Diceros bicornis minor: one gene and its partners. The protein of the gene in region 3 purifies or fractionates together with the protein of the main gene of each other region. This does not show direct contact. Links are inferred from orthologs where the notes say so. Each region holds a gene or a part of one and is shown on either strand. Other genes may lie near its edges.

Region 1 (10,095 bases), on a different chromosome or scaffold from region 3:
TCTCTCTCTCTCTCTACCCCTTCTAAGACTGGCCTAGGATAATAAGTAACCCGCACTAATGAATACTGCTTGCCACTGTTTGAAGTGAGCACTGGAAGACTGCAGGTATTTAGCTGCGTGTGCATCACTTCCCCCCCCTTTAAAGAACAAAAAGCAAGATCAAAGAGTTCATGGCCAGTGGTCCTAGCTCTCAAGAGTCCTTTGTCAGCCTCAGCAGCACATCCATCCAACCATCCACCCTCCTTAACTCAAAACATCTGCAAAGTCCGTATCATCCTCCAACACCCCCACCCCACCCCCAGGCCCACCCCCTGCCCGGGCAAGTCTTACCTGTATCCATTTTCAGCAGTTTCTGTGGACCTCACATTCGCTGTAGCCCTCAGAGTTTTGCTGGACAAGCCAACAACAGTGGGTGCAAGTTTGCACTTGAAGTCGGCACAAGTCCACTCCTCTTCTTCATTCAAGGTGGGGAGATAGCCACACACGACCTTTAGGCTCCCCAGTCCCCCGTTACTCATGTAAGCTGTGTTTTCTCCCCCACTCCTCACATATTCGAGGTATATATCAGAAGTCAAAAACATCTGGTAGGCATTTTCCTCCATCACCAACTGGATCTCGGTCTGTGCCTGGTCAAACATGATGGAATCGATCTGCTGCTTCTTGATGCCATCTCTTATGTAGGTCTTGGTGGCAGGTTTCAGCTGCTTGGAGACAATGCTGTTGTTCTCGATGTACCTTTTGTAGATTGCTTTGGCTACTCGTAAAGTTTTGGTATCCTTCAGGTTCATCTGCCTGAATCCATTGCAGGCAAACCAAAAGTCTAGGGTATCCACACATTTCTCCCTCTCCAGGAAAGTCCGGAAGAGATAAGCACCATCTTGATCGCCCAACAAGGAGTGCAGCGACTTGGTCCACCTGGTCAGAGGGGAATCTGGAGATGCCCGTCCCTCGGGCTCCCCCAACCCATCCTCGTTCCGCCTGGCGTTGGAGGAGACAGGCATGGGTTTGGGGACCTGGCCCTTTCCCACCCCGGCCTGGCACGGTGGGGTCTCCCCTTCTTCCCCGGGAACCGGGGGTCGGGGCGCATCCTCGCGGAAGCTGCTGCTGGGGTCTGGGAGGCGAGTCACCAACACAGCGCTACTCATGGTGAGGGAGTTCTCACTGAGTTTGGGAATTTTTTTTCTTCTTCCAGTTCCTCTCAGCAATCAGCGTGGTCTCTCTTTCTCTCTCAAGTCAGCAGGGGCTCATCTGAGCCTCCTTTCTGCAAAGAAAAGGAAGGGGGAGGTAGGAAGAGAGAAAAGGGTATTGATCTAATCAAAACCAGATCTACCCAACATCAAAGCAAGAAAGTAAACAGGCTTTTCAACTCCTCAAATTCAAATCAAGCAACCCAGCTATCTGCGAGGTGCTCATCTAAAGTATCAGACGCCGCGTTTTCAAAGGCGAAATCTGAGCTCCCTACACACACGGGGGTGGGGGCGGGAAAGGTGAGAGGGGAGCCCCGAGGGTGGGAGGCGGGAACGGATGGGCATGGGAGGTGTAAGACATAACCTCCCCAAAACCCCCTCGGCCCCGGCGCACGCAGGGTAGTCCCGCCCGCCCCTCCCCACTCCACACCCCTCCTCTCCCTTCCCCCGACAGCATCAACTCCAAAGACGCGCACTCCAGCCGCTGGGCTGTGTGCAGGTGAAACCAATTTCGGTACATTTCCCTACTCGGCTCTCCGCACAGATAACTCGAGCTCCAAACGTGCCCTTCCTCGGCATCTGGTTCCCATTCCCCCCACCCCACCCCTTCCCTTTGCACCCCCCCCTTCCCACTCCTTCAAAATTCAGAAGATCCTCGACCGAGAAAGAAGCCCGCCCAGCACAGGGCTGAATGGGCTCGCGGACTCCCAGCAGGAAAACGCCCCCCCTCCCCAACCCAGATGTACACGTTCGCTGCGCCCCCGCCTCCCACCAAGAATCCGACTCAGTCTACACTTCTGTCTTCCCCGCTCCCTCAAACCAGAAACCAACTTACTAAGACGAGACTTTGATCTTCCAACTTTGCAAGAGAGCAGAGAAGCCTCAGGACCCGCCGCCTCCGTCCCCCCGCCCGCCACCTCCCGGAGCCGCGAACCCTACAAAACCGGATCAGAAACCGTCTCACGCTACCACTGCCTGTGCCAAGAATCCCAGACTCTACTGATCTCAAGCCTGTCTCTTTTTTCCAAAAGCAAAAAGTCTTATCTAACCAATAAACAAGCCGCTTTCCTCAGCACGGGAAGGATCAAACTAAGGAGGGCAGGGGCGGGCCGGGGGGATGGGGCGCGACCCCGAACGAGGGACCGGGACCCCGGGCCTGGGGTGGGTGCGCGCGGTCCCCGCCTGGGGCCTCAGGGCGCTAGGCTGGGCAACTCAGCAGGCGGAGTGGCGGGGCCGCCGGTAGCGCCGCGTTACCCGGGCGGAGGGGAGGTGGGGCGGCCCCGTTACCTGGAAGACGAAGGCGGCGCGAGGCCGGGCTCTCATCTCCGCCGCGCCCCCCCGGCCCGCCCCACCCCCCGGCCCAAATCCAACCGAACGCGTCCAGAGCCCCGGCGAGCGGGCCGCCAGGCGCGGGGCCGGAGCTCCGGGAGGCGCTCGCGGCACCCCGAGCCCGGGCGCGGGTCGGTCCCCGGCGCCTCCGCTCGCAGAGGCGCCCACAGAAAAGCACGGAAAGCAGCAGCCTAGTCCAGAAATGGCGACGCGCGGAGTCTCTGCCTCTCCGCAAAAGGGGCCGGGGGCGCGAGGCCCGGGCGGGGAGGAGGGACGCGGGGGACGCGGGCGCCCCGGGCTCGGGCCGCTCCTGCGCTCAGACTGAGCCTCGGCCAGCGCTCGGGGCCCCTAAGCGCGCACCAGTAGCTGGGAGGGGAGGGGGGGTGAGAGAGGCAGGAGGGGAGGATGGGGTGGAGGGGAGGGGGCGGAGGGGAGGGCCAGCGGGGGGCGCCGCCACCCTTTCATCCCACCTTCCAAAAGCACTCCCGCGCACACTCACACCCCGACTCTCATCCATAACAACGACAGCGATGCGCGCCCCGGGGGGGATCTGGCCCCTCTCCGCCCCCGCCGCAGCCGCCACTTGCAGAAGTCTCTCCGCCGGGGCCCCCCGCCACCCCCAGAGGAGGGGGCTCGAGCGCCGGACGCGCAGAGCTGCCCGGCCAAGCACCCCGGAGCGCTGGGCGCCGGGCCCGCCGCTCCCCTCCGCGCCCTCCCGGAGCGCGCCCCGAAATAGCCGGCCTGCCAACTTCAAAGGGCTGCCCGGCACATCAAAGCGCGCGGGCCGCCCGGCCGCCGCGGCCTCGGCACTCACCATTGATCCGCGCGCGCGCTCCGCAGCGAGACCTCGCAGGCGCCCCGGGCAGGGCCCTGGCCCCGGCCCCCGGATAGGCTCGCAGCGGCAGCCCCGGGCCCCCCTGGGCCGGTCCCGGCGTCGGGGAACATGGGGAGTCGCGCGGCAGGGGAGGGGGTGCGGGGAAACAACAATCCCGGGATTACAGCGAGATCCACCGGCCAGGGAGGGGGAAACGGCGCTCCCCGCCGCCCCTTTTATGCAAAAGATCCGAGTGGGCCTCCACCCCCGCCGCGGCCGCCCCCGGCCCCTCCGGCCCCCGCCCGGCCCGGCTTTCAACACAGGTCCTGTTTCCAGCAGTCACTCCGCGCACCAAATGTCCTCCGGGCGCTTCCAACAAAAACTGCGCTGTGGATTTAACTGTGCACTTCAAAGGCGCGAGCCGAGCGCACGGTCCTGAAAGGGAGGTACGCACCAGCCGCGCCCCGGGCCGCCCCCCGTGCCCCCGCGGCCCCTCCTCGGGGCCCTCCGGCTCGCACCGCCCCTCCTGGCCCAGTCTTGGCCGGGCCGGACCCCTCTCGCCCCCGGCGCCCGCGACGCGACTCGGCGCGACCTCGCCCCTGGTCCAAGGGGGGCTCTCTTTGAAGCAGCTCTGCTGAGGCCGCGCCTCCACCCCCACCTTTTACAGCAGGGCTTTCGGCGGGGGAGACGGGCGCCTCGGACGCCGGGCGGCCCCGAGATCCATTGCTACGAGGGGTTATTTTTATTCCCCGGCTCTCGGGTTGTTACTGAGTTGCCAGGACCTTATCAAAGCGCTGCCGGCTCCAGCCGACTCCCCCGGGCCGGGCTTGGGGAGCCAGTGATCCCGCCGCGCCAATCACAGCCACGCTCGGCTGGCCCGCGCCGCCCGCCTTAAAGGGACAGCGCCCCGCGCCCTCCCGGGCCCGCCCGGCCCGCCCCCGCCGCACGCTCGGCTCCCGCGTTAACCCTTCCCCGGCCCTCCTCCGCCCCCTGCCTGGCCCCCGCGGCCCCAGAGGCTCTCTCAGCCTGAGTTCTGATTCCGTGTTTCAGGTTCTCCGGTCTCTGCTCTGACTTCCTCCCGCTGCCTGCCCTCGCCCTCCCCAGCTCTGGAAAGCAACAGTTTATTGTAGCATTCTGGCCATCGCAAGAACTGCAAGCAAGCAGAATTTTTTTTTTTTTTCTGTCATCAAACACTTTTCTACCTCTCTTCAAGTTTCCCTGGGAATTTGGGCTTGGAGGATCTTTTAAACGGAGTTCTGGTCCTGAGATCGACTGACCAAGTGTCATAGGGTGAACGCGGGCCTGGATGCAGAAGGCATGTGCGTGCGTGTCTCTGAGTGTGGGTTAGAACCACTGTCTGTGGTTGAAGTGTGAAGATGGGCGTGTGAATCTGCCAGCACAGGCCTGAGTGCTGGAGATGGGCTCTGACACCTCGTTAAGAAGCATCCCTCAGGCGGGCCCCTGGCTTAGCGGTGAAGTGCGCAGCTCTGCTTCTGGCGGCCTGGGTTCCAATCCTGGGCAGGCACCTACGCACTGCTTCTCCGGCCATGCTGAGGCCGTGTCCCACATACAGCAACTAGAAGGATGTGCAGCTATGACATACAACTATCTACTGGGGCTTTGGGGGAATAAAATAAATAAATAAATAATATAAAAAAAAATAAGAAGCATCCCTCAATTCCCTGAAGATTTAACCCCGACTTCCCAACCTGGCCGTCAGAACCCTCCTTGCACACATGGACCATCTTTCTCTAACAACTGCATACCCAACACTCTCTCGCAAGCATCCCCCATCCTCCCATATGTTACATATTAAACAGACACGGAATGTCTTTTTTCCCCTCACCCTCATTTTTAATGTATTGAAAACTCCTCCCCACATTCCCCCAACAATGTTATGAGGCATAACCTTCTCACTTAACGAGAAAATATGCCATAAACCTACAACATTATTTATTTACTCATCTATTGCTATAAAATGATGCCTCATATGATAAGCTAATAATTAACTTTTCCTCCTCTTAAAAAACATAAAGGTATAAGCCAGATTCGTTCAAGAAGGGAACGGGAGAGCCCAGCATTATTGGAGCTGTGCGAGGCCCTCCAACTCAACTCCCTTTTCCTTTGTTTACTTTCTTGTTGAGCTTAAAGGATGACAAACCCTCTTCAAGGCAGAGGTGCCTCTAACCTGTCATGAGGGCGTCAGAACTTTGAAACATGCAAGAAACATATCTGTCTGTTTGGGATTCCATAAGAAAAAAAGGAGGAAGATACACCACCCATGATCTGCAGGAAAAGGGCAGGCAGCAAGGACCCTGCACTATGGCCCCCAGCCTACGGGGCTGTGACGAGTGACTAGAGTCCTTGCAGCCCAGGCTGCCAGACTTTTCAGCTCCTGGGTGCCAAGGCGGGTGGCATTGCCCTCCCCAATACCTGCCTCTTTGTGTCCATGGTCTGCCCCTCTGGGCTCACCTCCCCAGGCGGCCAGGCTGGCATAAAGCCAGCAGTCCAGGCTATGAAATACAGCCACCTCAGGGCACGCTAGGAAGGCCAGTGAAAGAGTGTGGCTGGATGACTCATCTTTGCCTTGGGACAACTGCTGGGTGTGAGGAAACTGGAAGCCAGTCCACTTCAGGTCGGCTCCTCTAACAGCCTTGCCTTCCGGAATGCTGGTATGTGGGATCCATGGCCAAGGGCACGCCCACCCCCTCCGGCGACCCCAGGAGAGCCAGGAGCAAAGCTGTCCCTGTGGTTCTGGGGAGTCTTTAGGCCACAGAGGGTGTTATTACAGGAACAAAAGTGTATACAGAGGGGAATGAATTGCCATAGAAGCGTCTACAATATAAACAACAGCAGCGCGCGTGTGTATGTGCGTGCGCAAGCACACACATATACACACACACACACACACACACACACACACACAATGTGGGGGAGGGGAGATAGAAAAATCAAAACATCCCAAATCAAAATAAACAATGATCAGAAAGAGGAGCCTTTAAAAAAGGAAGTGGAAACTTGGTCTTCATGGGTGGTTTTCCCCCCATCCCAGCTGACCCTTCACTGCCCCCCAGCCGGCCCTAATCATCATGGGCTCCGCTTTAAGCAAAGGACTCTCCTGCTCCCTCATTATCCCAGGGCCACAGCAGCAGGAAGGAGGGACTGGGGATGGGGATGTAGGAGCACAGCCTAGCTGGGTTTGGATCCTCTCAGTAACAACCCCTCTGAGAGCCTGGTTTCCAGAACAGGTGCTAGTTCACCTTGGGCCAATGACTTCCCCTTCATCTCACCCCTACTCCCCTCCCCCCACTTCGTATCTGGGGGTACATTTCCCATCCCACAGAAAGCTGGGCCAAGTGCTGAGAAGCCAGGGGCCCTAGAGCCTCTAGGTCTTGGACTACTTGTTGATAATATTTCTGGAGGAGAATCCAAAGTCCTTTGCTTATACGCTTTCTCAAGATAGCACAGTTTTCCATTTTCCCCTTCTCCCTGGCAGCAGTGATATCATGTGACTGGTTGTAATCCCGCACGGTTGCCTGGAAACTGGAAAGCAAGGTGATGGATTTCTGCACATGCTCACTCTCCCCGCTCCTTTAAAGAAAAACCCTACAGAGGATAAACAGCCCACTTGGCCTAAGTGCAGACAAGTTTAATAAAGCAGAGAGTAATTCTTTTCTGGAATTATGTATGAGGCTGAAATCCTAGAATCCCAGAAAATGAGGATTCAGGGCTCCCTGAGAGGCATCTGGCCAGATCTCCGACCTTTAGTCAGCCCCACAAAATCCCTCTGGAGGGGAAGTCACACCAGCTGTGACTGCAGAGGAGCTCAGACTCAGGACATTGCTCTCTAAGATTCAGTGACTTTGTCTTTTATTTCTTTGAAAAAGTACCACCTTGGACAGTGTACCTTTGTTTAGGGAGGGAAGTAGAGACAGACACAGGTAACTTTTCCTGAGACTGCAGGTCACTTAACCACTCTGAGTCCCCGTGTGTTCACCTGCAGAGTGGAGGAAACACCCCTCGAAAGGCTGTTGTGAGGATAAGCAATAAGGTAAATGCCCAGCACGATGCTTGACACACAGTAGGTGCTCAAAACATGGTGGCTATTTCTGCAGAGTCACCCTGTTCCCTCAACATCTGTTCCCTGTTCTGGGAATAAACTCCCCAACTCCAAAGCAAAGATGCCCCTTCAATTAGGAGCCTGGGGGTGGGGACCTGGAAGTGGACCAAGGAGGCCCTGCAGAGGTGAGCCAGTCCGTCCGTTCCCCGCCCCGCCAACCTCGGCCGACTTCCCTGCAGAGAGGAGCAAGGATTGGAAAGCAAAGTGGCCTGTGCCTTTCTGCCATCTCTCAAAGGCAGTCCTATCCAGTCCCCCAAAAGAAATATCAGAATTTTCTAGCCAGGGCACCCTTCAAGTATCATCTAATCCAACCCATCATTTAAGAAATGAAGAAAATTAAGGAAAGAGGAGGTGAAGAGATTTTCCCAAGACCACTTTGCCCATGTCAGAGCTGAGCTAGAACCTCCTAGGGGTCCTGACTCCGGGCTCACCCTCTTTTCTTCCATACCGTGGTAAGGACACCCAGGGCAGGGCTGGCTTCCCCGCAGGGCTGATAAATGTGATTTCGGATGCTTTCCTAAAAGAATCACCACAGGGCTTCAGCCTGAAATTCCCCTGAAGCTCAACTTCATTCAGCCCCTACTTATGTACAGACTTGACCCCCAGAACAGGGCTACTCTCAGCCGGATTCTGGGTGGTTCTACCAAATCTTTTATGGTGGCAGACGTTTCCATGGGCACATCAGTGGGGTTGGTCCACCTGAGGGAGAATTGACTTGAACAGAGCCTGAGAGGAGGAGAGAAGGAAAAGGCGGACTTAACTTCCTGCCACTCTCTCTCCCTACTTCTGCCCTCTGCAGAGGGGGGCCTGAGACTGTGAAGGTGGAGATTTCAAAGCCACAAGCAAAAAAGTAAGGTTTTCCTGAGAAATCCTATTCATAGGAGTGTTAGGGAAACATATTTGTTAATAAAATTATCATCTTTGGTATGTTAAATTTAAAACACAGTTAAGTGAAACAATAATTTAAAACTTCCTAATCTGGTTTACTTTCAAGTGCTTTTAATATTTATTTTAAATGGAGCTACAAACTGCTGGGTGTTCAGCATCTCACCATTCATCATTGTCTTGGAGTTTGGCTTTTAGGAGCTGGACTGAGCTTGTAACCAGAAGAGACCATCAATATTAAAGCACATCCAGAAAGAGGTTCTGATTTTTAAAGTTATCTTCTCCATAGTGTCAAGCAGACAGACACATAAAAGGTTGTTTTCAGAAAAGGATGTGAAAAATAGATAGAAAAAAGAATCCCTAAAGTCAGTCATCCAACTGGCAACATGTGAAACTTTGCTAATAAATAGGCTCTCTCCACAGACAGTTTTTCTGCCCCTGATGTTTCATCCTGCTCATTTAAAACAACTTCTGGAAACTAAAGTTTCACCAAGTTTGAAATCAGTTCCTTTACTCTCGCACGTCAGTGTTTCTTGATCTGCCCTGGGCGTTTCCAGAAGCTGACTGAGTAGTTTCCTGGGCTCTAAAAGACTTGCACAGTGGGCCAGGATACTTGGCAGGGTCACAGCCTGCCCCAGAACACCTGGAGAGATTCTGGCCTTTGCTCCCCGTTGAAGAACCTTCCCTACATCAAGTCCTCAACGTGCGTTATTATGTAACCTGCCAATGCTGCAGCTATGTCCTCGTCCCTTGCCTCATTGGCTTCAGGGCACTCAGGTAGTAGAAGATAGCTGGCAAACTTCTTTCAAGAGGAGTCTACACTTGCTGTCTACACTTTCCTCCCCTCTCATTGTCTCCTCAACCCATGATAACTGCTCCTCCTCAAACACCATCTTCAGCCAGGTAAAAGACACCCTAATTGTTAAGTCACGAGGGCCCATTTTGACCTGTTAGTGGCCTGGCTTATCTGCAGCCCTCTCTCCTTCTCAAGCCCCTCTCACTTATCTGACAGGACTTTCTAACAAGGACCACCTCCCTCTCCTGCTGCTCTTCAGGACACCTTTTCCTCCTCCCGACTCCCCCACAGGTTGCTCTTTCTCTGGGGTCCTTCCCCCTAAAATGTTTTCTGGACAATCTCCTGTTCCCACCCATTGTTATAAGCTCCACTCTGTAGAAATCAGGGCCTCTCAGACCTACAGGCCTGGCCTATTTCAGTACCTTCCTTCATCACTCCCTCTTTGGATAGGCCAGCCACAAGCCTCTCAAATTTAACACTCTTAAAATGGAGCCTATTTTGTCCCTCATTGAAACCAGCCATCCTCCTGTTAGGCAGTGACCTCACCACCTCCAGCTGCCTCAGTGAGAAACCTGGGCCATGTCTAGACTCCTTCCTCTCCCTCATACTTCCCCATTCAGTCCCCCAACCCTGTCGATTCTGCCTCCTAAAAATCTAAAATCACTGCCTTCTCCCCATATCCACTCCACCACTACGGCTCTGGCTCTTCTCATCTCTTGCCAGGAACAGCAAAATGTTCTGTTCTCCCTGCCTGTAGTTTACAGCCCCCTGCTCCTGGGCCCCCTGATGTGTTGCTACCATAGAGAGCGGTCTGCAATCCAAAATTACCATTTCATTCTCAGCTTCAAATCCTCTCCTGGCTGCACAGAACCTTCAGGATAAGGCCCCAAGCCCTTAGCATGGCACACAAAGTGGTTGGTGCAGGCTGATCTCCAGCTCTATCTCCTGCTGTTACCCCCATGCC
Region 2 (9,697 bases), on a different chromosome or scaffold from region 3:
AACTTGCTCACTGAAGCAGTAAAGGCGGGCACTATGTTGTCTAGAGAGGGAACTATATAAACATGACAGGCAATATGGCCCTGACTTTGGAGAAAAAAGGTAAGAGTAACAGAGAAAAGGCAGAGCAAGCGGGAGAGACCTGTTGCTGGGCACAAAGAGGCCCTCAGAGAACCTTTCTAAAACTCACATTAGTGCCACTTTGTTCCAAGTGGCAGCTGAATCAGGATCAGTCAGATCCCCAGCATTGAGAGAAGGCTAAGCAGAAAAGCAAAAGGCAGGGACCAAATACAACTTCATGGCTCTGAGGTCAGGAGAAATGACCTCCAGAGGAAGGTGAATAACTAACCCCTTGCACTCAGCCAAGCCCAGAAAGCAACCAAAAGGAACGAATACCAAAGGAATACTCGGACTTTTAGCAAATCTTGGAACAGGAGTGACCAAGGGAGGTGGTGGCATTCCTTTCCCACCATCATGCCAGCCTGACTGGTCTATTCACCACCCGCAAAACATGCTGTGCACATTTCCAGCTCTGCCCTTTGCACTATTTGTTCTTCTCTGTCTGAAAGCAGCAGAACTGCCATTTGGAAAGACCACAGCCTGGAGTTGAATCCCAGCTCTGCTTCTTACTTGTGGGACTTCTGCCTCTCTACGCCTCATTTTCGTGATATAAAAATGAGGATAATACTGTAACCAATTTCATGAAGTTGTTGTGAGGATCAAATGAGACAGCACATAAGTGCCTATTCTGTAGGAAGTAAAGATGAGCTCCCTTCCATCTTCTCCCTTCTCTCCCCCTCCCCGACCAGGCAAGCCCCACTTCAAGCCCCCTCTCTCTGTGAAGCCTTCCCTGACCACACAGGCCAGAGCAATCCTCTTCCTCTAAAACCTATAGCTTCCAGCACTTGTGGCTCTCATATGGAACTGAGCCTTAAGGAGCTCGCTGTCTTTTCATGGGCAAGTATCCCAGATCCTTAACATAGCTTATGAGTTAGGTGACAATATACTTTGTTGTTCAAACCGGGACATTTTTTTTTTTAATAATTTTATTTATTTATTTTTTTCCCCCAAAGCCCCAGTAGATAGTTGTATGTCATTGCTGCACATCCCTCTAGTTGCTGTATGTGGGACGCAGCCTCAGCATGGCCGGAGAAGCGGTGCGTCCGTGCGCGCCCGGGATCCGAACCCGGGCCGCCAGCAGCGGAGCGCGCGCACTTAACCGCTAAGCCACGGGGCCGGCCCAAACCGGGACATTTTTGAGAATGAAAAGAGGTGTGATGAATTATTATGCCGGAATAAACAAAGATTGCCCTGGGCAAACTGGGTGTATGGCTGCCCAACTTATAAGGCACCATTCTCCTCTTCATTTAGGAAAAACATGTGTAACTCTTAACCTCCCCCACCCCATCCCCCACCAGCTGAAAACACAAGCCAAATAGCCTCAGTTTTCTGACCATGAGAGGAAGGGTACAGGGCAAATATAACTGTACTTAGAGCATGAGGAAACCTGAGCTGCCAATGGAAGAAATACAATCTGAGAGCCACAAGTAAATATTAACTTTTTTTCCTTAAAAAAAAAAAAGAAAAAAACACTAGTTGAAATGACTATATCCTGATGTTCTTTGTGGCCTCAATGGGGGGAGAGAGGATGGGCTCTGGGCTGGCAAAGTAAACCACTTCCCTTCTGAAACTGAATATGGTCTGATGCCTACTCTACAAAATAGTTAATGAGGGAGAAATAAAAGGAGATGAGGAACCAGAGATAGAGAAAGCTTTGCAGCAGAGAAAATGGGACTGACTGACACTGATGCAAATTCCTAACGATAGCCAGCCACTCCTGATTCCACCTTATGCCTGAGAAGTGCAGACGACACAGATTATCCGAAGGCTTCTGGATGAACCACTAAACTTGCATGCAGCCCCACCCTGCAGCAAAGATTTTTCCATACTAGAAGTGAAAAATGAGTCACCATGAATAGGACATTTAGTTAAACAGGATTTCTTTTAAATGGAACATTCTACTATCATTGTGGCAGAGGCTGTAGAAAATTTCTCTGGTATCAAATGCTAAAAATATGGTATCAACAGGAGAGTTGGCTGGGTTATCAGCTGTCTCCATCTTGTGAAAAAGGCAAGCATTCACAATTCCCTAAAATTTATACTATAGTTTAACAGAAACATTCAAATTTAATAGTGTCTCTGTCTAAATCATGTCTTTCTTTATCTAAGAAACAACAGTGTGGCCTCTGGTGAACTGGATGGGGAGAAGAAAAAGGATCTTTTTCTTTTTCATTTCGCATCCTTTCTGTATTTAAAATTTTTCACTATGTACATTTACTACTTCTATAATTAAAAGCAACCTAAAAGTTGGCCTGTATGTCCTGCCACCAGTTCACCCACTAACATTCCTAGAGTCCAATTTTCTCATTTCTTCTGGCCCTTGCTAGGCTGTGTGATGATGAGAGGTCTAAGATACAACCTCACCGTCATAAGTTCACAAGTTTGGAAAAAAGAAGATCTAGATCTTGCTCCTTGGGGGAAGAATGCAGGTAGAGAAAGGTCAGGATACCAGCAATACTGGAAAAATCCAGTATTTTTCAGCTTCATACTGCTGGAGAAGATATACTGTTAACCCCGGGGGACTCTGGAGCATGCAATGAAATGCTATTTGGTGAGGTTTCAGGTCCAAGGGTTCTTTACCAAATGGTGGAAAAGAGAGTTATTTGGGTTACTGGGGAAAAAAAAAATCCAACTGCTTAGCACTTTGAACGGTGCCACAAAGACTCTACATTAGTCCTCCAATGAGCTCCCTGTGGTGAAATCAGAGGTAACCAAAATGAATTGGTTCCAAATTGCTTTATGCATTAATGCATTAAAACAACTTTCCACAAATTTGTATTTCACAAAGAAACATTTGGTGTAATTGTTGTTAAAATCGAACTTCACCCCCATTCTTGAGGTAAGGACATTCATTTACATCAGCAGCTGAGTCTGCAGGAGGAGTTAGGTGACTTTTAGGATTTGTAAAGACCCAAATCTATTGCCCAGGGGAATTTGTAGAGTTTAAGATACTTAAAAAGTTAAGGCACAATCAACCATCTGTCTAGGTTTCTATAGGAGCAGTGAAACTTGAGGCAGGGGGGCCAGGTGACCTGGTCAGCCTTTTGCTAACTGGGGATAGCAGCCTAATGCTGCATGACCAGTCAGCGTGGCTGGGCGATTCCAGCTGGCTCAGAGAGCACCCAAAATAAGCCACAAAGCATTCAGGAGTCATGCTTATAGTTTTGATTCCAAACACACCGTGCTTATCCCTTCCAGGTGGAGGATTTTCACGTTTCAGGCCAAGGAAGAAAGCTGGAGGCAAAGGAATCCAGGTTGTGGGTCAACAGATATGCCTGATGTATTGTGCATGTTTAGTTTAAAAACAGATTTAAAGTAAAACCATGACCACCTGTAAGGAGAATGAGTTAGGCCAGCCAGACAGAAACAGCCGTTCAGAAGCAATAAAGGCGTGGGCACAGGTTTCCTCGCACCCCTGGGGTTCACGTGGAGGCCTTGTGAGTGGAGAACTCAAAGAGGGGCGGGGAGAAAGGAATAAATACACCTCCCGGGGCAGGACTGGCGGCGGCACAGTCGCCTTTTGACGGAACTAACTCAGGCGACAGCGAGCAGAGGCTCAGATGCAGGACTCAGACCCACGATTCCTCCTGCCCGCTCTCGGGCAGACCGCAACGGCAGGGGGCCAAAAACCGGGAGACTGAGCAGCATTCCCACTCTCAAGAGCCAGGTTTTCCTTCCTCACTACTCAGGCCTGCTCAGATCCCAAGCCCCCTCCTCACAATTCCGTGTTCCCTCCACACAGACCCTCGGGGCTCCCCAGATCCCGCATCTTCGTCCTTCCTGGACCCCATGCTCCAATCCTTACGATCACAGACAGGCATCCGTTACCTGCAGAGCAGCTCGACAACCCTGCAGGTAGGCCTCCATGGTGAAGCCCAAGGTGTGCCGCCGCCCCTCGCCGTGGAGAGGTTACTCGGCGAATGCGCCCCGCCCCGTTCTCCGGGGCTTGAGGCGAGAGTCAGAAGGCGGGACTCGAACCTGCCACACAGCGATTCGGCCCTGACCCCCGGAGGAAGTGCGTAATCGGGCGCTCCCGGAGTGCGACGTCGCCCCGCCCCCAGCAGCGGAGGCGGAGTGCTGCGCCCGGAGACTCACGGGAGGCCTTTTCCGAAGCGCGAAGAGGGGCGTGGCGGAGGGCGTCCTGGGAAACGTAGTCCAGAAGCTCCGAAATGTCACCAAGAATTGAGGGAAGGAGAATTTTCTGAGATCATTCATTTGACACACAAATGTATCTGTCACAGTAACCTATCTTTGTGGCATCAGAACTTTTCCTCTCGGGTCAGGCTGAGTATAGCATCTTTCCATATATTACACGGAGCATCTAGTTGACATCTTAAATTACACGTGGCAAAAAAGCTCTTCGTCTTCCTTTCTCGAATTCTCCTCTCTACCAAACTGACTCATTGCCACCAATTTTGTGATTGTCCATATTATTAAAACATTAGAATAATCTCTTACCCCTTTTTTTTTACTTAATACCTACAGTCTCTTGCCAACTCCTGCTGCTTTTTCTTTTATAACTCTGTAGCCTGTTTTTTCTGTAGCCTCAGCAAATGTCTCCTCATTGTTTGCCTGGACTGTTGTAACCTGGGTTCTTTGCTCCCTGCCTCGGTAACTGTTCCAACTGCCCTCTCAGCCTTCAGAGTTGCTTGAAGTTTCGTCCTGCGGCAGGCAGCCTTGTAAGTAGAGTTTGGAGGGCCCTTCAGAATGTAGAGTTGGGTTCCAACCTCCTTTAACTGCCACCCTCCAGCCCCACAGTATGCAGAGGACTGCAAATACATGTACTCTCATCGTCAAATGTTCCCTGATTTATTACTCCATCCTTTTATTTCCTACCACCAGCCTGACACCAGCTTTTCCTTCTCCCCAAGCTAGGAATTGAGAGGAGGTGACTGATGAGAAGCTGAGGCCGCTGCTGGAAACAAGGACCAGAGCACAGGGGTATTGGATCTCCTGCTTGCTCAGCTAGTTCTCTCCCTGCTGTGCTCTCTTCCTAGGGCCTGGGGCTTCTTCCACACCTTTTGCTCTACCAGGAGCACAGCCCAACTAGTTTCATTTCTAGACTAAGAAAATGATACAGTGAGGACTTGGAAAGGAGCAGTATTTTTTTTTTTTTTTGCATTAAATGGGTAAATATGCAAATATCACTCTCTTCGGCCCTGCTTCTCTGGATCCAGAGCAAAGGACTGCCATACCTAGGGAGAAAGCCCAGGTCCAGCAAGCTGCTGCTGTCCAGCCCTGCTCCTCCCCGATCAGCAAGGGCACTTGCTCTTCCCTATTCTCACCAGAGAGGCACAAGCGCTCCGTCCCTTCCAGCGGCAGGCAGGCGGAGGGAAGAGAAAGGGTCTGTTGTTTTTCTCTCCTTGTTTCTCTCTCCCTCACTGCTGATCACCAAGCTGCTGACCAGGTCAGAAAGCCCCGATGGAAATCCTCCAGTGCTGGGCAGGCCCCTCCTCCTCCAGGGAGCTTGTCCTTGACTAATTTTTCTTTGTCCCGATGGGAAAAAAAGAGAGAGAGAAAGAAGAAAAAAGAAAAACCACAAACTTCCTTTGAAAACCAGCTTTCAGTCAGGGCCTGGAGCGCAAACCCTACACTCAGCGACTTAGGAATCCGAAGACGCTCTGAGCCGCTCGGGTGCACCTGGACTGCGCCCCTGCCTCCCCGGTAGTGTCCCCGGTTGGGCGTGGGTGTGAGTCCGGAAGTGGCTACGACCCAGTCAGGACTGCCGCTTGTAAACCCATATAAACCTGTGAAAGCTCTGGCGTTGACAGCTGGAAGACAGCTGGGACTGTGGCGACGCCCCTCATTGTACCCACCTCCCCCATCGAATTGCCAGAGCTGAACTCTCCTTCTCAGTCCTGGAACAGCACCCACTTCTTTAAGGTAAAAACTTGTTTCAACCATTTCCTCACCTCCTCTCCTACCCCAGTTCTCTTTTTCCTCTCCATCTCTGGGGAGGTGACACTGACCGTCCTTCTGCCTTTGGTCTCTATGAGTCTGGTTTGTGAGAGGAGCTAAGGCAGAAGGAATATGTAAGAGGAATACTTTGTGGTCCCTTCATTTTTTCCTTTTAATGAAACCTTTCCCCTCTCACGAGCAAGTAGACAGGCACTGTGGTGGTGCCTGTGTGGTGGATTCCAAGGGGAAAATCTAAAGGATTAGCTGCATGAAGATTTGGGTCAGACTGAGGAGATTGGAGTGGAGCAGTAAGGGACTTGAGGGGAGAGGAAAGTTCTTGGGGAGGTGTCTTATTGAAGCTACATACCCATTTTATATCCTTCTTCCAACTTTCGGCTGTTTACTGCCACTGCCTAGGGAGGGGCCAGGGCTGTTTTAACTCCCTTGCCACCAGAGGATAATTCCAGCTGGAGAGAACACGTGGGACTTGGGAAGAGAAGAGGAAAAGAATGAAATCCTGGTTTGTTTAGTACCCTCTCCCTCATCCTTTCCTGCTCTGAATTACTCCATGCCCACCCCACCAGGAGTGCACTTTGCAGAGTGGAAATCCTCCATTACATTTCCTGCCCCTCCTCTTAAGACTTAGCCCACTTAGCTGTGCCCAGTTTCTCTGAGACCCAGCTCCCTCCAGTGTCCAGCTCCTGGTTTCTTTTGGCTCATCCCTCTAGTCAGCTAGCTGCCCAACCCCCCCTTAATTATTGATCATTTCTGGCACTGGACAGAAAAGGTAAGAAATGAGCTCTGCTTTTCTTTGTAAACTTTCCCAGGCTCTGGTTTCTGCTTCTGACGCTCATCCTAAGTGTCATTTGGGAGGGGAGGAAAAAGAGAGAGAGAGAGAAAAAAAAAAGTGTAAGGCCTGCAGGCAATTTTTGCTACTCTGATTCTAAATTAACAACATGTAAATGAGATGCAGCTAGAATGAATTATATTTGAATCAGGAGGATGATCAAATGATCAGTTTGGGTGACTAGGCTTATTTCAGTAACTTTCATGTACCTCAACTTCATCTCCCAGGCCTTTCCTGAGCCCTAAATTCCTGTCAGTTTATGAGAAGGAAGCATAGTCTCAGGTTAGGAGGAAACTAGAGAAGAGATTCCTAACAAGTTTAATTTCTCCCTTTCCTCACCCTGAGTAAGGGGGCGAGGGGAGCAAGGACGTTGAAGGGAGATGTTTTCCAGAGGGCAGGGTTTGTGGCTTTTTATCGTTTACTATCCACAGCATTTATTAAATGTCTACCTCTGCTGGACTTGATGGTTAGTGCTGATAGAGAACAGGTTGAACAGGTCCAGTGTTCACATCTAAACCGACCTAGATGGGAATAGACAGAAAGAACGTGAATGTAGAGGGAATATTTTTAACGTAGATCAATAATCAGCATTTTTTTGTGTGTGTGAGGAAGATCAGCCCTGAGCTAACATCCATGCTAATCCTCCTCTCTTTTTGCTGAGGAAGACTGGCTCTGAGCTAACATCTATTGCCAATCCTCCTTTTTTTTTCCTCAAAGCCCCAGTAGGTAGTTGTATGTCATAGTTGCACACCTTTCTAGTTGCTGTATGTGGGACACGGCCTCTGCATGGCCAGAGAAGCGGTGCGTGGGTGCGCGTCCGGATCCGAACCCGGGCCGCCAGTAGTGGAGCACGCGCACTCAACCGCTAAGCCACGGGGCCGGCCCAATAATCAGCATTTTTATATTCCATATAAATAGTGGGCAAGAGAGTATCTCTGGATTTAGGCAGTTTTTAGAGCAAAGAGGAACTGAGGAGAAGTTGCTATCTCAACTTCAGCTATCAGGAAAAGCTTACTGGAAGAATTTGTGGGGGGAGTGATTTTTCTGCCCCTAATCTGAGGTTACTTATCAGAACTAGTTTCTGATTCAAGTCCCCATGGCCTACATTTCCCTTCTCCAGCCTGCAGGAAACCCCTCCCAAGACCTATTTGCTGTGGTTTGGGATTGTGTAAAGTCATTTGAAGAGAAAGACTTCTTTCTCACCAGTGTTTCGTCTTTAGGGGCAGGATACTGACTCCGCCTTTCCACTCTTCACCCCAAGCACTATGTGGCGGTTAATCTTTTCTGCCTTGGGATGAGGCAGAGAGATGGTAGCCCTACGGATACAAGCAGCCTGCGTGTGCTCAGGATGTTCCCTGAACAGCCAAGGGGAGGGGTTTGGTGCAGGGCAGAGGAATCACCCCCGTCCTGGCCATGGTGTGTGGGGGTTACTGACATGATACCTATTACCAAGTGAGCTAAAGATCACCATATTAATAACCATTAGTGTAGTTTTAATGTTTCCATCTCCATCTCTTTCCCTTCTGTCTTTCTCCTTTTACTCTTCCTTTCTCTCTGTCTTTTCTCCATTCCTTGTCTTTATCTGTTTCAGGGAAGCTGACTCCACCCAATGTCTTCAATCTCACTGGAATCATCCCTCTCAAGCCTGAAAGCCCTGTATCCTCGTTGGTCGCATCTGGTCGCAGCAAGTTAGAGGTGAAAGAGCTCAGGCTGGGGCCCTTCTGTTTACCTAAGCTCTACTACCCAGGAGTGACTGTACATGAGACACTATCTAGCCTTCCACACTATGTTCCTTTTCTGAGACTTTTCTGGGTCAATTTTGCTTTCCAGCCCAATGATCTCCTTCTTATTGGATTAGTCTCTGTTTGGCATACCAAGCCTAGATTAGGCAAGTCCTGGAGGACAAAGTCCTTTGATGCGCATCAGTTGACCCCTTTTGACCATGGAACACCATCAACCCGAGCATCCAGCCTCTAATAAGGCCAAGACTGCAGAAGCAGTCATCCCTGAAAACCACGAGGTCCTGTCAGAACCCGATGAGCACCCTCAGGACAAGGATACCAGAGATGCTGATGGGGTGGCCAGAGAACAGGAGCCAGAAGACCAAGCCTCACTGCTGGCCCAGGGCCAGGATAACCTTGAGTCCCCTCCACCTGATGCTGGCTCAAGCCAACTGGAGCCAGCCCAGGGGACGCAGACTGAGATAGAGACAGTGGGGGCATGCTCCAGACCCCAGGAGCTTCCCCAGTCCCCCAGGGTCCGACAGCCTGAGCTAGATTTCTACTGTGTGAAGTGGATCCCGTGGAAGGGAGAACAGACACCCATCATCACCCAGAGCACTAACGGCCCCTGCCCTCTCCTTGCCATCATGAACATCCTCTTTCTTCAGTGGAAGGTAAGAGAGAGTTCAGATGGGGGCTCAGAAAATGTTGGGGAGAGTTCTCTTCCTTGACGTACCTCCTTGATCATACTGATTTTTTCAAACCAGTCAAAACTTTCCAGATGATTCTCCCTATTTCTCCATCTTGAACAAATGAGATAAGATGTTCATAAAAACAAAACAAAACAATTATCTGTCCTACTTCTGTCTCTTCTACTCTCTAGCAAATGGGAATGCCTTACAGTATTTCACATTCATTCTCTTGCTCCAGTTGTAAGCCTTTTTCTTCCACCACACTCCACCGCTGGACAACCCTTGTCCCCCCCACCCCCACCCCCTTCTATGGGCTCCTCCTTCAGTGCTCTGTGAAGGAAAGCACACACCTGGCTTACCCTTTGATCACTCCTTGCCTCCAGGTAAAGCTGCCACCTCAGAAGGAAGTGATCACGTCAGAC
Region 3 (10,525 bases):
TGTCTACCCCCGGCCTCGGGGTGGCCCTGAGCCTCTCAGCCCCTTCCCTGTGTCGCCGCTAGCCGCGCCTGGCTCCCTGCTACCCCCTCAGCTTTCACCGGCTCTGCCCATGACGCCCACCCACCTGGCCTACACTCCCTCGCCCACGCTGAGCCCTATGTACCCCAGTGGCGGCGGGGGCCCAAGCGGCTCTGGGGGAGGCTCCCACTTCTCCTTCAGCCCTGAGGACATGAAACGGTACCTGCAGGCCCACACTCAAAGTGTCTACAACTACCACCTCAGCCCCCGCGCCTTCCTGCACTACCCTGGGTTGGTGGTGCCCCAGCCCCAGCGCCCTGACAAGTGCCCACTGCCACCCATGGCACCTGAGACCCCACCAGTTCCCTCTTCGGCCTCGTCCTCCTCTTCCTCCTCTTCCTCCCCATTCAAGTTTAAGCTCCAGCCGCCCCCGCTGGGACGTCGGCAGCGGGCAGCTGGGGAGAAGGCTCCGGCAGGCGCTGACAAGAGTGCTGGCATTGGCATGGGCGGTGGTGGCAGCGCAGGTGGGCTGCCTGAAGGGGCGGGGGCGCTGGCCCCACCACCACCCCCGCCACAGATCAAGGTGGAGCCTATCTCGGAAGGCGAGTCGGAGGAGGTAGAGGTGACTGACATCAGTGATGAGGATGAGGAAGACGGGGAGGTGTTCAAGACGCCTCGTGCCCCACCTGCACCCCCCAAGCCTGAGCCCGGCGAGGCACCGGGGGCAGCCCAGTGCATGCCCCTCAAGCTGCGCTTTAAAAGGCGCTGGAGTGAAGACTGTCGCCTGGAGGGGGGTGGGGGCCCCGCTGGGGGCCTTGAGGATGAGGGCGAGGACAAGAAGGTGCGTGGGGAGGGGCCTGGGGAGGCCGGGGGACCCCTCACCCCGAGACGGGTGAGCTCCGACCTCCAGCACGCTACAGCCCAGCTCTCTCTCGAGCATCGAGATTCCTGAGGGCTGTGGGCAGGGGACCCCTGTTCCCCCAACCCCCATGCTTCTTTTGCTGCCTTAACCCCCCCATGCCCCGGAGGTGAGGGCAGCTTTCTAGTCTCTTTCCTGCCTCCTCCCTTTCCCCTCTCCACATTTTGTATAAAACTTTTAATTTTTTTTTTTTAATGGTGAGGGTGGGTGGGTGCCTAGGGCTGGGAGCTGTCCCCTGTCTCTCGGGTTTCTAAGCTCCGGGCAAAGTGGTGGTGGGGGGAGGGAGGGGGGAGTTAAGGGGGCCACCTCCATTCTGGGGAATTTATATTTGAACTGAGGCTCGGGCCTCAATGCCCAGGAACTTTTTTATTACAATCGCTTAGGAAGTAAAGCCTTGTTTCCCTCCCTGTTCTCTGCCTCCTGTACCTCTCCCTCTCCACCCATGGCTATCCTCAGCCCCCATTCTGCCTTCCCTGCCCCTCCAGGGGCCACGAGTGCCTGGGTTTCTCATACCCCACAGGGTTGCAGCAGAGGAGGGAGGGACATTTTATGATGAACCAAAAATTCCGTGTCGGGGATGGGGGGGTGGGGGGCGGAAGAGGGTGAGGGGTGCCACCCATAGGCCACAAATCTCTACAAGTGCCTGCTGTCCCTCTCCCGCTGCCCACCCCAGCACCAGTCCAACCCTTTCACCCCCAGCTGCTCCTAGGACTAGCCCATAGGCAGGGGGGTAGGGGGGGTGGGAAAGGGGTGCCCTGAAACCAAACTGGAAGCCCCCTCTGCCTCCCACCTGGGGCCCCTGGGGTGGGGGTCTGTTGTCAAGCCTTATTCTGTATTAGGGATGGAGGGTGGGGGGGAGGGAAGTTGGGGGCTGCTGGAGAATGTATTCAAAACAATAAAACTTTGGACCTTTGGATGCAGTGATCTGTCCTGGGTCCTGGGTGCTGGGTGCAGCTGCCACAAGGCCACAGCTTTCGCATGATTCTGAAGGACGGGCCCCAAATGGCCCCCCGTGGATCTATGGCCAGACAGCCTAACTGCCTCGGAATGAGGCAAATTCAGGCTTGGGAAATGCTCTCCCAACCTCGGGGGCACATAGCCTAGCCCCCATGGGCCTGATGAGTAAGGTCCCAGGCACACTCGTCCTCTCTGACTGCTCCCCTATTCCATGGGGATCTGCGCGTCCTTGGAAGCACTTTAGGCTCGTCACCACCACACCACTGTCCTTGCTCTTCTGATTGCCTGCAATACCTTTCCTCTCGCTCTGAGTTCCTACCCAGGACCCCAGACTCTGCTAAAGGCCTGAAACTCCTTTTGGACCACCCCTAGTAGCGTGCCACACATCATTTTTAGGGCGCTTCTGAGTTCATTTGGGACTCCTTTGGCGACAGGCCTGCACTGTCTCTTGAAATGTAGACTTTGCAAGGTCTTCCTATGGAACCATGGGAACACCCTCTGCCAGCAAGTTGGGAAGGGCCTAGCTTAATCCTGGTTGCTATTGATTGAGCTACTGTGAGCCAAGTACCTAGTACCTAGTTAGGAGCTGCAGTGCTTTATCTCCAACATCCAGCAAGGTAGGGGCAAGTGCCTCAGTGAAATGACTTGCCCAAGGCCCTAAGCCCAGCCAGGATGGGCTTAAATGAGGTCTGTCTCTGAAGCCCGTGTTCTTTCAACAACCCCTAAAAGCCGGGATGGTTGGATGTAGACCAGGGTCTCAAGATCATAGGATCTGAGTGGTGAGCTCATAAAGCTAGAAGCCCAGGTTGGAGAGTTCGAGTCAGGGATGAGAGAGTCAGAAGGAGGAATCCAGGCATGAAGTGCCCTTACAGACAGCTCAACCCTTTCAGTGCAGGTGAGGAGCCTGAGGCCCAGAGAGGGGAAGGAGTTGCCCCAAGGTCACACAGCTGCTAAGAGAGTGGGAATTGAGGGCTCAGGGCCTGTTGAACAGGCTGCACATGAAACCCCACCCTGTGCAACTCTGAGGGGAAAGAAACTGGCAACTCTTATCCACTCGATTCATCTTCACTTCATGCCAGCCCAGGGTGGGTGGTCCCAGATGATGTCTGTTGGCAGTGAAGAGAGGATCCAGGGCTGGGGTACTGGCAGGAAACCTAAGCTCCAGAGGCGGCCTGTGGGCAACTGCTCCCTCTCCTGGGTGATGTAAGGCACTCCCTGGGGTGGGGGCCACTGGGCTATTTCTGGAAGTTGGGATGAGGCATGTTTCTTGGCAACATAGATGCAGCTGAGTTGGTGGCGGTGTGATGGAGAAAGGGGGATGTCATCACTGTGGGGAGGGGGAGGACCCTGACTAGTCTCAGCCTCTGATGCCAGTGCCTTCAAAGCACCTCTAACCAGGTCTAATATGGACTCAAAAAGTGCTCAGCTCCAGAACTGCTCTCCAGGTCAGACCACAGCCCACCCAGACTTGCTGCCCCAAATTCTGGCTGAGTGGGATGTCACTGGTGCCATCTGGTCTTGAAAACACCAGCGGCTCCTCTAATCTTTAATGACGCACTTAAATCTATTCACAGTTCCTGTAAGACCACACCCTTGCTCCCTTCCACATCCTCCGGGATCTCTGAGTCCAAGTAGAAAGCCCTTCGTAGATCTCACACGACTTCACCAACTAATTCATCCCATCAGAGACCCCCTTCAAACCTATAACCCCCAGCACCCTCACACACCCCCAAACCTCCTTCCTGATGCTACTCAACCATCCCTCACCCCTTCAGGTCCCTCAGAGATCCCCTCAGTCACCAGTAGTTTCTGAGTGTCCCATAGACCTTTTAAAGACACCCTAAGTCCCCTGACTTCTCTACTGGTCCCCAGTAAGATCCCTTCACCTCTCCACGGACTCCCCTGAGCACCTTCAGATACCCATAGGCCCCTCAGAGACACTTAGAACCCACCCTAGCACTCCTCCACAAACGTTCTCAGCCCCTACAAACATCCTGGTAAGATCCCCTGAGACGGTCGCCCTCAGACTCCCACGGATCCCAATCCCTTCGCGGCGGTTGCCCACGCGTGGCCCATTGCGCATGTCCCACGGGTTCTGGCCGTTAAGTAACGGCCAGTTAAGTAACGCTGCGCTGCCTGCCCTTGTGGGCCTTCTTGGTCCGGTGTACGATTCCCCAGGCTTTGGAGCTTCTCTCAGATTTTTGCTTTTCGACTCCGAGCTGCCATCAGAGGGCAGCAGGCACCGGTTGGCTGAGAAACTACAATTCCCAGAAAGACTCGCTCCGGGCTGTGCGTGATGCAGCCACATTCATTGAGAAGGGAGCGGAAGTGTGTCCGCGCTTTGCCTTCTGGTTAATGTAGTCTGAAAAGGTTTTAGCGCTGCCTTCTGTCGCGTGTCTACGTCCGCTGGGAATTGCAGTCAGGAACAGAATGAGTGGAGACTTTCTTCAGGCTTCAGAAAGCCCAGACAGGGCGCCGCCCCAGTGGCATAGCGGTTAAGTGCGGCGGCTCCGCTTCAGCAGCCAGGCGTTCGCAGGTTCGGATCCCAGGCGGGCACACAGGAATGCTTGTCAAAACATGCTGTGGCGGCGTCCCATATAAAGTAGAGGAATATGGGCACAGATGTTAGCCCAGGGGGAATCTTTCTCAGCAAAAAGAGGAGGATTGGCATCAGATGTTAGCTCAGAGCTAATCTTCCTCACCAGAATAAACAACAAAAACAGCAGACAGTATGAACACAGGTTGAGATTAAAGTCTGGAGACTCCATTTCCCATCATTCCGCGAGGCGGGAGGGGCTGAGGGTGATTTTATTCCAGTTCCACGTACTTCCGGGACACACACACACACACACACACACACACACACACACACACACACACACACACACGAACTCTGTTTCCCAGCGTCCTTTGGGGCTACTGTCCTTCCGGATATTAATCGGTAAATGGGGCGACGTAATGCGTGCACAAAACCCGAGGCTACTCCTAGCCGCCGGCTTCCTTGTTTTGGTCCCTCCAGGATCCTGTAACTAGGAAGAGAGAGAACGCAAAAAACTGAATGGGGGTTCAAGACAAATTGTATTTTCATCTTTTTTAACGCTTGGCTCAGCCTCCTGGTACAACCCACATTGCTAGAAAAAACTAGACTGTATCCGAAGACTATAGTGTTCTGAGAAACCGCGGGAAACTGTTTCCCAAATCGTTTGCGGGGTGTTTTTCCTTTCCGATTTGGGGAAACTTGGAACTGGAAGGAGTGTTTGGACTTCATTTTCCAGCAGCCCCTGACTGATTTCGGCTCTTCCTTGGGACCTGGGGGCGGGGAAGAAGTGTTTGAAACACTCTTCAGTCTCCCCAGGGTACTGCCGTCTTTCACCTTTCGCTCACGCTCTCCCGAGGGTTCCCATTGGACTCCACTTCCCGGCAAGCCTCTGCAGTCTCGCCTCACAAAGGCTCAGGATCCGGTCTGGACTGTTCCCCAGCATGTTTCAAGCTCATGGTAGATCCCTCCCCTTCAGTCAAAGGGGAGGCTGCCTTGAACTCCATTTCCCAGAAGACAGAAGGGTTCTCCGTAGCAACGGCTCGGAAGTCGTGGTGTTGACTACATTTCCCAGCAGGGACTGCGGCCTAGCGTGCGAGGGAGGAGGAGCGCTGTACCTACTCCATTTCCTAGCCTATCTCTGGAACTGCAGTATCCCCTTGGGGGGTGGGGGGTGGGGGGTGGGGGGTGGGAGTGGGGGGGCTCAGGGATCACAGGGGACTCCATTTCCCGGCGTGCTTTGGGAGTCGCTTTACACCTGCAATGCGGTGAGGGCGTGGCGACGAATCCATTTCCCGGCTTGCCTCACAGCCCGATATCTGCGGGTCTACAGGCGCTGACTCAATTTCCCAGAGAGCACCTGGCGCCGGTCATGGCGCCGGTCAGCATACATAGCCAATAGACTAAGTAAGCGACCTGACTCCGTTTCCCGGCGTGCATCAGACCTACATAGCTCACTGATGGTGTGGCTCCGACTACGTTTCTGAGGCACACCTAAGGGCTCGTCGTTGCCGCAATGGAGTGAGTGTGCGACTCTGACTCTGCTTCCCAAAGTGCTTCGGGGTCCGCTATCGGCACAATCGGCCGACTTATTGCCCAGGACTCTATTTCCCGACGTGCAGCGCGACCCATCATCCCCGCGGTTTACTCTGAGGCCTTGGCGGACTCCATTTCCCAGCGTGCCTCGCGGCGCTCCGTGCGCGCCGAGGGCGGCGACCGCGGCGCGGAGGGCAGGCGGACTGCATCTCCCGGCGTGCCCCGCGGCGGGCGCTGGGCCGGAGCCGGAGCCCGAGCGGCGCGGCCTGGAAGAGGCCGGAGCCCGGGGGAGGCGGCGGCGGCGGCGGCAGCGGCGGCTGGGGCAGCCCGGGCAGCCCGAGCCCCGCGGCCTGGGCCTGCGCTCGGCGCCATGAGCGGCGGCGCGCCTTCGGGGGGCGGCCCTGGGGGCTCGGGCCGGGCGCGAACCAGCTCGTTCGCTGAGCCAGGCGGCGGAGGCGGCGGCGGCGGTGGCGGCCCCGGAGGCTCGGCCTCCGGCCCGGGCGGCAGCGGCGGCGGGAAGACGTCAGTCGGAGCCATGGGTGGGGGCGTGGGGGCCTCGAGCTCCGGAGGTGGCCCCAGCGGCAGCGGCGGAGGAGGCAGCGGCGGCCCCGGCGCGGGTACCAGCTTCCCGCCGCCAGGAGTGAAGCTGGGCCGTGAGTACTAGCGGCGCCCGTGAGGGGTGGAGGTTAGGGTTCCTGAAGCCCCTCAAACGTCGATTAGCTTCTTCCTTATGCCAAGATAGGAGCTCTGGGTCGCTGTGCCTCCCAAAACTGGGAGTTGAGCTCTCCGCCTCCCGGAGAAAGGGATTTGGGGGATTACCATCACTTGGAGTTTAGAATTAGAATTATTAACTCTAAAAGAAATAGGGATTACAGGTTTCTCTTCTTCCAGTACCAAGGTCTTGGGTCCTTGAGCCGTAAAAACAGGGATCTGACATTGCCATCCATTAGAGAACAGGATCAGGGGTCATCGTCGCTTGCAAATAGGGCTGAAGGATTATTGTTCCCAAAGAAAACAAGAATAAGATCACCACCACCACCACCCAAAAAGGGGGATCTGAATTTGCTTCCCTTTAGAGAAGGGGAATTTGGGGTTACTGTGTCCCCAAAGAGCAGGGCCAGGGCTTTCCAAACTTGCTACCCAGCTCGTCTTCCCTTTTAAAACACAAGCTTTAGTATCATTACCCGTCTATAATATGTACAACTGTATCCCCATTGGTGGAAATTAATGGTTGCTGCTTCTTAGAGATAAGGACAGATTGGGAGTCAGCATACCCTTCAGACCAAGTTCATAGTCATTGTTCTTCAAAAAACTATGACTTGGTGGGTCTCCTTTCACAAAAATGGAATGGGGGTTGGGGAGGGTCATAGTTCTGCATAGAATATAAATCTGAGATTATATATCTCTTTCATTGTTCTGAGGTATGGTATCATTGGCTCTGGAAAAATAGCTATGTAGGATCATCTCCCTCCAAAAGAAGGTGTCACTGGCCCCTCAAAATGGATTTGATTCATCAGTGACCCCTTTTCTTTGGGGAACCTTTCATCAGTTCGCTGAAGAAAAGGGGTCACCATCCCCTGAGAATGCCACCAAAGTTCACTGCCATTTGGAAAATGGAATGGGGAATTCTAGCTTTCCTTCAAAGGACTGAGGCTGAGTTAGCTCCCTGATAATAGAGGTCAGGTTCACCATTCTCACAGTTGGCTTGCCCATTAGGGACCACCCATATACAGGAAAAGAGGTCTGGGGCTCTGGACCACACAGATGAGGAGGTCAGGTCAGTGCCTTTTCTAACCCCAAAGTATTTGGGTAAGGGTTAACTGACCCCAAAAAGTGAGTCAGGGCACTAGCACTCATAGCAGGAGGAGTCATTGATTTCTGTCACCAAAAACCAGTGGTGAAGTTACCAGCCCCACTGGGGAAGACTTAGAGGTCACTATCCCCAGAGCTGTGAGAAACATTAGTGCTTTCCCAAAGTAGAAGTACCTCAGGGTTTCCGCTCTCAAGTGGAAGAGGTTAGGTCAGGCTTTCCCCAGTCAGGAGGGGCCAGAGGGCAGTGAGCTGAGTAGATGGATTCAACATCTGGGAGAGTCAGTATCTCCTCAAACCAAGAGGGACCAGTGGTTTACTGCTTACTAAAAGTGGAAATTAGGGGTTACCAATCCTTGAACGGCAAGAGATTTAGGTGTCAGTATTCTCCCATATGGGAGGAGGCAGGATTCCCCTGAAGGGAAGAGGGGAAAGGGCACTGGTCCTCAAAAGCAAGGAAGGGACAAAGAGGCCCCCAGTAGAGATTCCCCTTCCTCTCACAGCCCCACGATGGGGTGGTGGCCAGAGGGGAAAAGTCAATGGATTGTGTGTCCCCTTTGTTGTTCCCCAGGTGACAGCGGGAAGGTGACCACAGTGGTAGCCACTCTAGGCCAAGGCCCAGAGCGGTCCCAGGAGGTGGCTTACACAGACATCAAAGTGATTGGCAATGGCTCATTTGGGGTCGTGTACCAGGCACGGCTGGCAGAGACCAGGGAACTGGTGGCTATCAAGAAGGTTCTCCAGGACAAGAGGTTCAAGGTAGCTTGCAGGGAATGGGGACAAGGAGGTTTGACTGGGCCTGACTGGTGAGAGAGCCCCAGTGAGAGTGCTGGACTTGGGGTTCCCTGGGGGATCTGAGCATGGGCCAGAGGGGAATGGAGAAAGCAGAGAGTGAGTTGTGTGGAAGATGGGATGTGGGTTCCAGGAGAGCCCAGAGTTGACAGTGTTGGTTCTTTTGCTCTGTGTAAGTGCTTTGTAGGCAGTTCTTGTTTAATTTATGTAAAGATTCTTTGAGGGCAGGTACTGTTGTTATTTCCATTCTAAGTAAGCAGAAACTGGAAACTGAGACTCAGATAAGAGAATTGCCCGAGGTCAAGACTAGAATCTGCCCTCTAATTCCCAAGCCCTCCATCTTAACCACTAAGCTACACTTCTGCCAAGAGGAGAAAGGAAGCTGGTGGGGTTGATGAGTATGTTTGCAAGGCTGAGCTCTGCCCCAGGGACTTGGCAAGTGCAAGGTGAGCCTGTCAGCGCTCACCAAACCATGTGCCTTGGTGTGGGGCTCTGTCCCCCTCAGGAAGGGGTGCCCTGTGAGCTAGTGGAGGCCCAGGGAACTAGGAGATGGAGGAGGTGGAAGTTGAGGGATAACTGGTGTTTGAAGGACTGGCATTTTGGAGCCCAGGTTAGTCTGGATGTAGGAGAACTGAGCCTAGGCTGGGAGGGAACCAGGTCAGGGCCTGGGTCTTGGCAGTGTGTACTCTCAGGGGCAGGAGGAGCTCCAGGTGTCAGTCAGAATTTGATTTGTGTAGAGTCCCAGAAGTGAGAGGGATCTGAGGGTGGGGAGTTCTGAGGCCCCGGAGGGGAACAGAGAATAGGGGAGAATGCTGAGACCGGGCCTTCTGGGAAGAGGCTGAGGCTAGATCCCTTCTCGGAAGATGAGAATTGGAAGCCTGGAGTCTGGGACTCAGAATCCAAGCCAGGGTTCAAGGGCTCAGATGCCTCCAGGGGAAGCAATAAGGAGGAGTGGGGACCAAGGTGAACTGGATGGCCACTACTTGTCTGTTGTTGCTGTGCCATGCGGGGAGGCGGGCCTCATGTGGCCACATTATCTGATTTTTCAAGAGAAGCTGGAAAACTGGATTTATACTTGATGTCGTTTGATTTTGAAATGTTAGCAATAAATCAAACATTTTTTAAAAGTGGGCTGAAGACAGCACATCTGTGGTCAAGATTTAGCCTATAGACCTCCAGCTTGTGTGTGAGGGGAATGGGTTGGGGGTGAGGAATTAGGGGCTCCCCCAGAGGGGCCTTGGAGCTGGGACCCAGGGAGTAGCTGCCTGGCTCTGTTGGCAGGAATGGGGGAGTAGGGCTGTGGTGAGAGGTGCTAGGGAGGGGAGGCAGAGAGAGTTGGTTGTTTTCTGAGGCTCTCTCCCTTTGCCCCCAAGAACCGAGAGCTGCAGATTATGCGTAAGCTGGACCACTGCAATATCGTGAGGCTGAGATACTTTTTCTACTCCAGTGGGGAGAAGGTGAGCCCTCCAGTATAGGGGAGTTCTCCACCTTGACTCCACCTGTTTCCTGTCTGCCTTTCTCATGATTGCCTGTCCTCCCCCTCATTATTCCCCACAAACCTTCCCTCCCCCATTTCTCACCTTTTTCTCACAGTGCCTCACACCTCTTCTTTGCTCTCTGCAGAAAGATGAGCTTTACCTAAATCTGGTGCTGGAATACGTGCCCGAGACGGTGTACCGGGTGGCTCGCCACTTCACCAAGGCCAAGTTGACCATCCCTATCATCTATGTCAAGGTGGGCAGGCAGGCAGGCTGCTGGGGCCCAAGCCCACAAAGCCAGCGGCACCCAACCCTCTTGCCTTCTGTGGGTTCCCTCATCTTCCAGGTTTACGTTGGTTTCTGGAGGCCTTGTGTTCCCTGCCATTGTCTCCATACCCCCGGAGATGGAGCTTGCCAAATGCAGGGTAGCCCAACCGGAAGCCTGACTGAATCGGGAAGATGGGCTGACCGGGGGCTAGG

Evidence for each region. Proteins that work in one complex are often made in the same cells at the same time.
Region 1: the proteins of GSK3A (region 3) and AXIN2 purify together in Homo sapiens (affinity purification with mass spectrometry; 3 studies listed by BioGRID and IntAct, with this or other methods). This does not show direct contact. The link is inferred for Diceros bicornis minor from reciprocal best matches to the Homo sapiens genes GSK3A and AXIN2.
Region 2: the proteins of GSK3A (region 3) and PRUNE1 purify together in Homo sapiens (affinity purification with mass spectrometry; 3 studies listed by BioGRID and IntAct, with this or other methods). This does not show direct contact. The link is inferred for Diceros bicornis minor from reciprocal best matches to the Homo sapiens genes GSK3A and PRUNE1.

What each region holds. Positions count from the first base shown.
Region 1 is NC_080757.1:49,432,053-49,442,147, reverse strand, and holds the start of AXIN2 (axin-2), read right to left. Parts: upstream 4,085-10,095; 5' UTR 3,989-4,084; intron 3,601-3,988; exon of another isoform or gene 3,331-3,600; intron 3,086-3,330; exon of another isoform or gene 3,016-3,085; intron 2,831-3,015; exon of another isoform or gene 2,475-2,830; intron 2,039-2,474; exon of another isoform or gene 2,023-2,038; intron 1,262-2,022; 5' UTR 1,146-1,261; coding exon 331-1,145; intron 1-330. UniProt on the Homo sapiens protein: Inhibitor of the Wnt signaling pathway. Down-regulates beta-catenin. Probably facilitate the phosphorylation of beta-catenin and APC by GSK3B.
Region 2 is NC_080743.1:55,339,068-55,348,764, reverse strand, and holds the start of PRUNE1 (exopolyphosphatase PRUNE1), read right to left. Parts: upstream 4,085-9,697; 5' UTR 3,985-4,084; coding exon of another isoform or gene 3,946-3,984; intron 3,940-3,945; exon of another isoform or gene 3,862-3,939; intron 1-3,861. Other genes in the region: MINDY1 (ubiquitin carboxyl-terminal hydrolase MINDY-1), read left to right, coding at 8,805-9,257, 9,659-9,697. UniProt on the Homo sapiens protein: Phosphodiesterase (PDE) that has higher activity toward cAMP than cGMP, as substrate. Plays a role in cell proliferation, migration and differentiation, and acts as a negative regulator of NME1. Plays a role in the regulation of neurogenesis.
Region 3 is NC_080773.1:17,020,473-17,030,997, forward strand, and holds the start of GSK3A (glycogen synthase kinase-3 alpha), read left to right. Parts: upstream 1-6,251; 5' UTR 6,252-6,336; coding exon 6,337-6,619; intron 6,620-8,346; coding exon 8,347-8,534; intron 8,535-9,940; coding exon 9,941-10,024; intron 10,025-10,190; coding exon 10,191-10,301; intron 10,302-10,525. Other genes in the region: ETS domain-containing transcription factor ERF, read left to right, coding at 1-970. UniProt on the Homo sapiens protein: Constitutively active protein kinase that acts as a negative regulator in the hormonal control of glucose homeostasis, Wnt signaling and regulation of transcription factors and microtubules, by phosphorylating and inactivating glycogen synthase (GYS1 or GYS2), CTNNB1/beta-catenin, APC and AXIN1.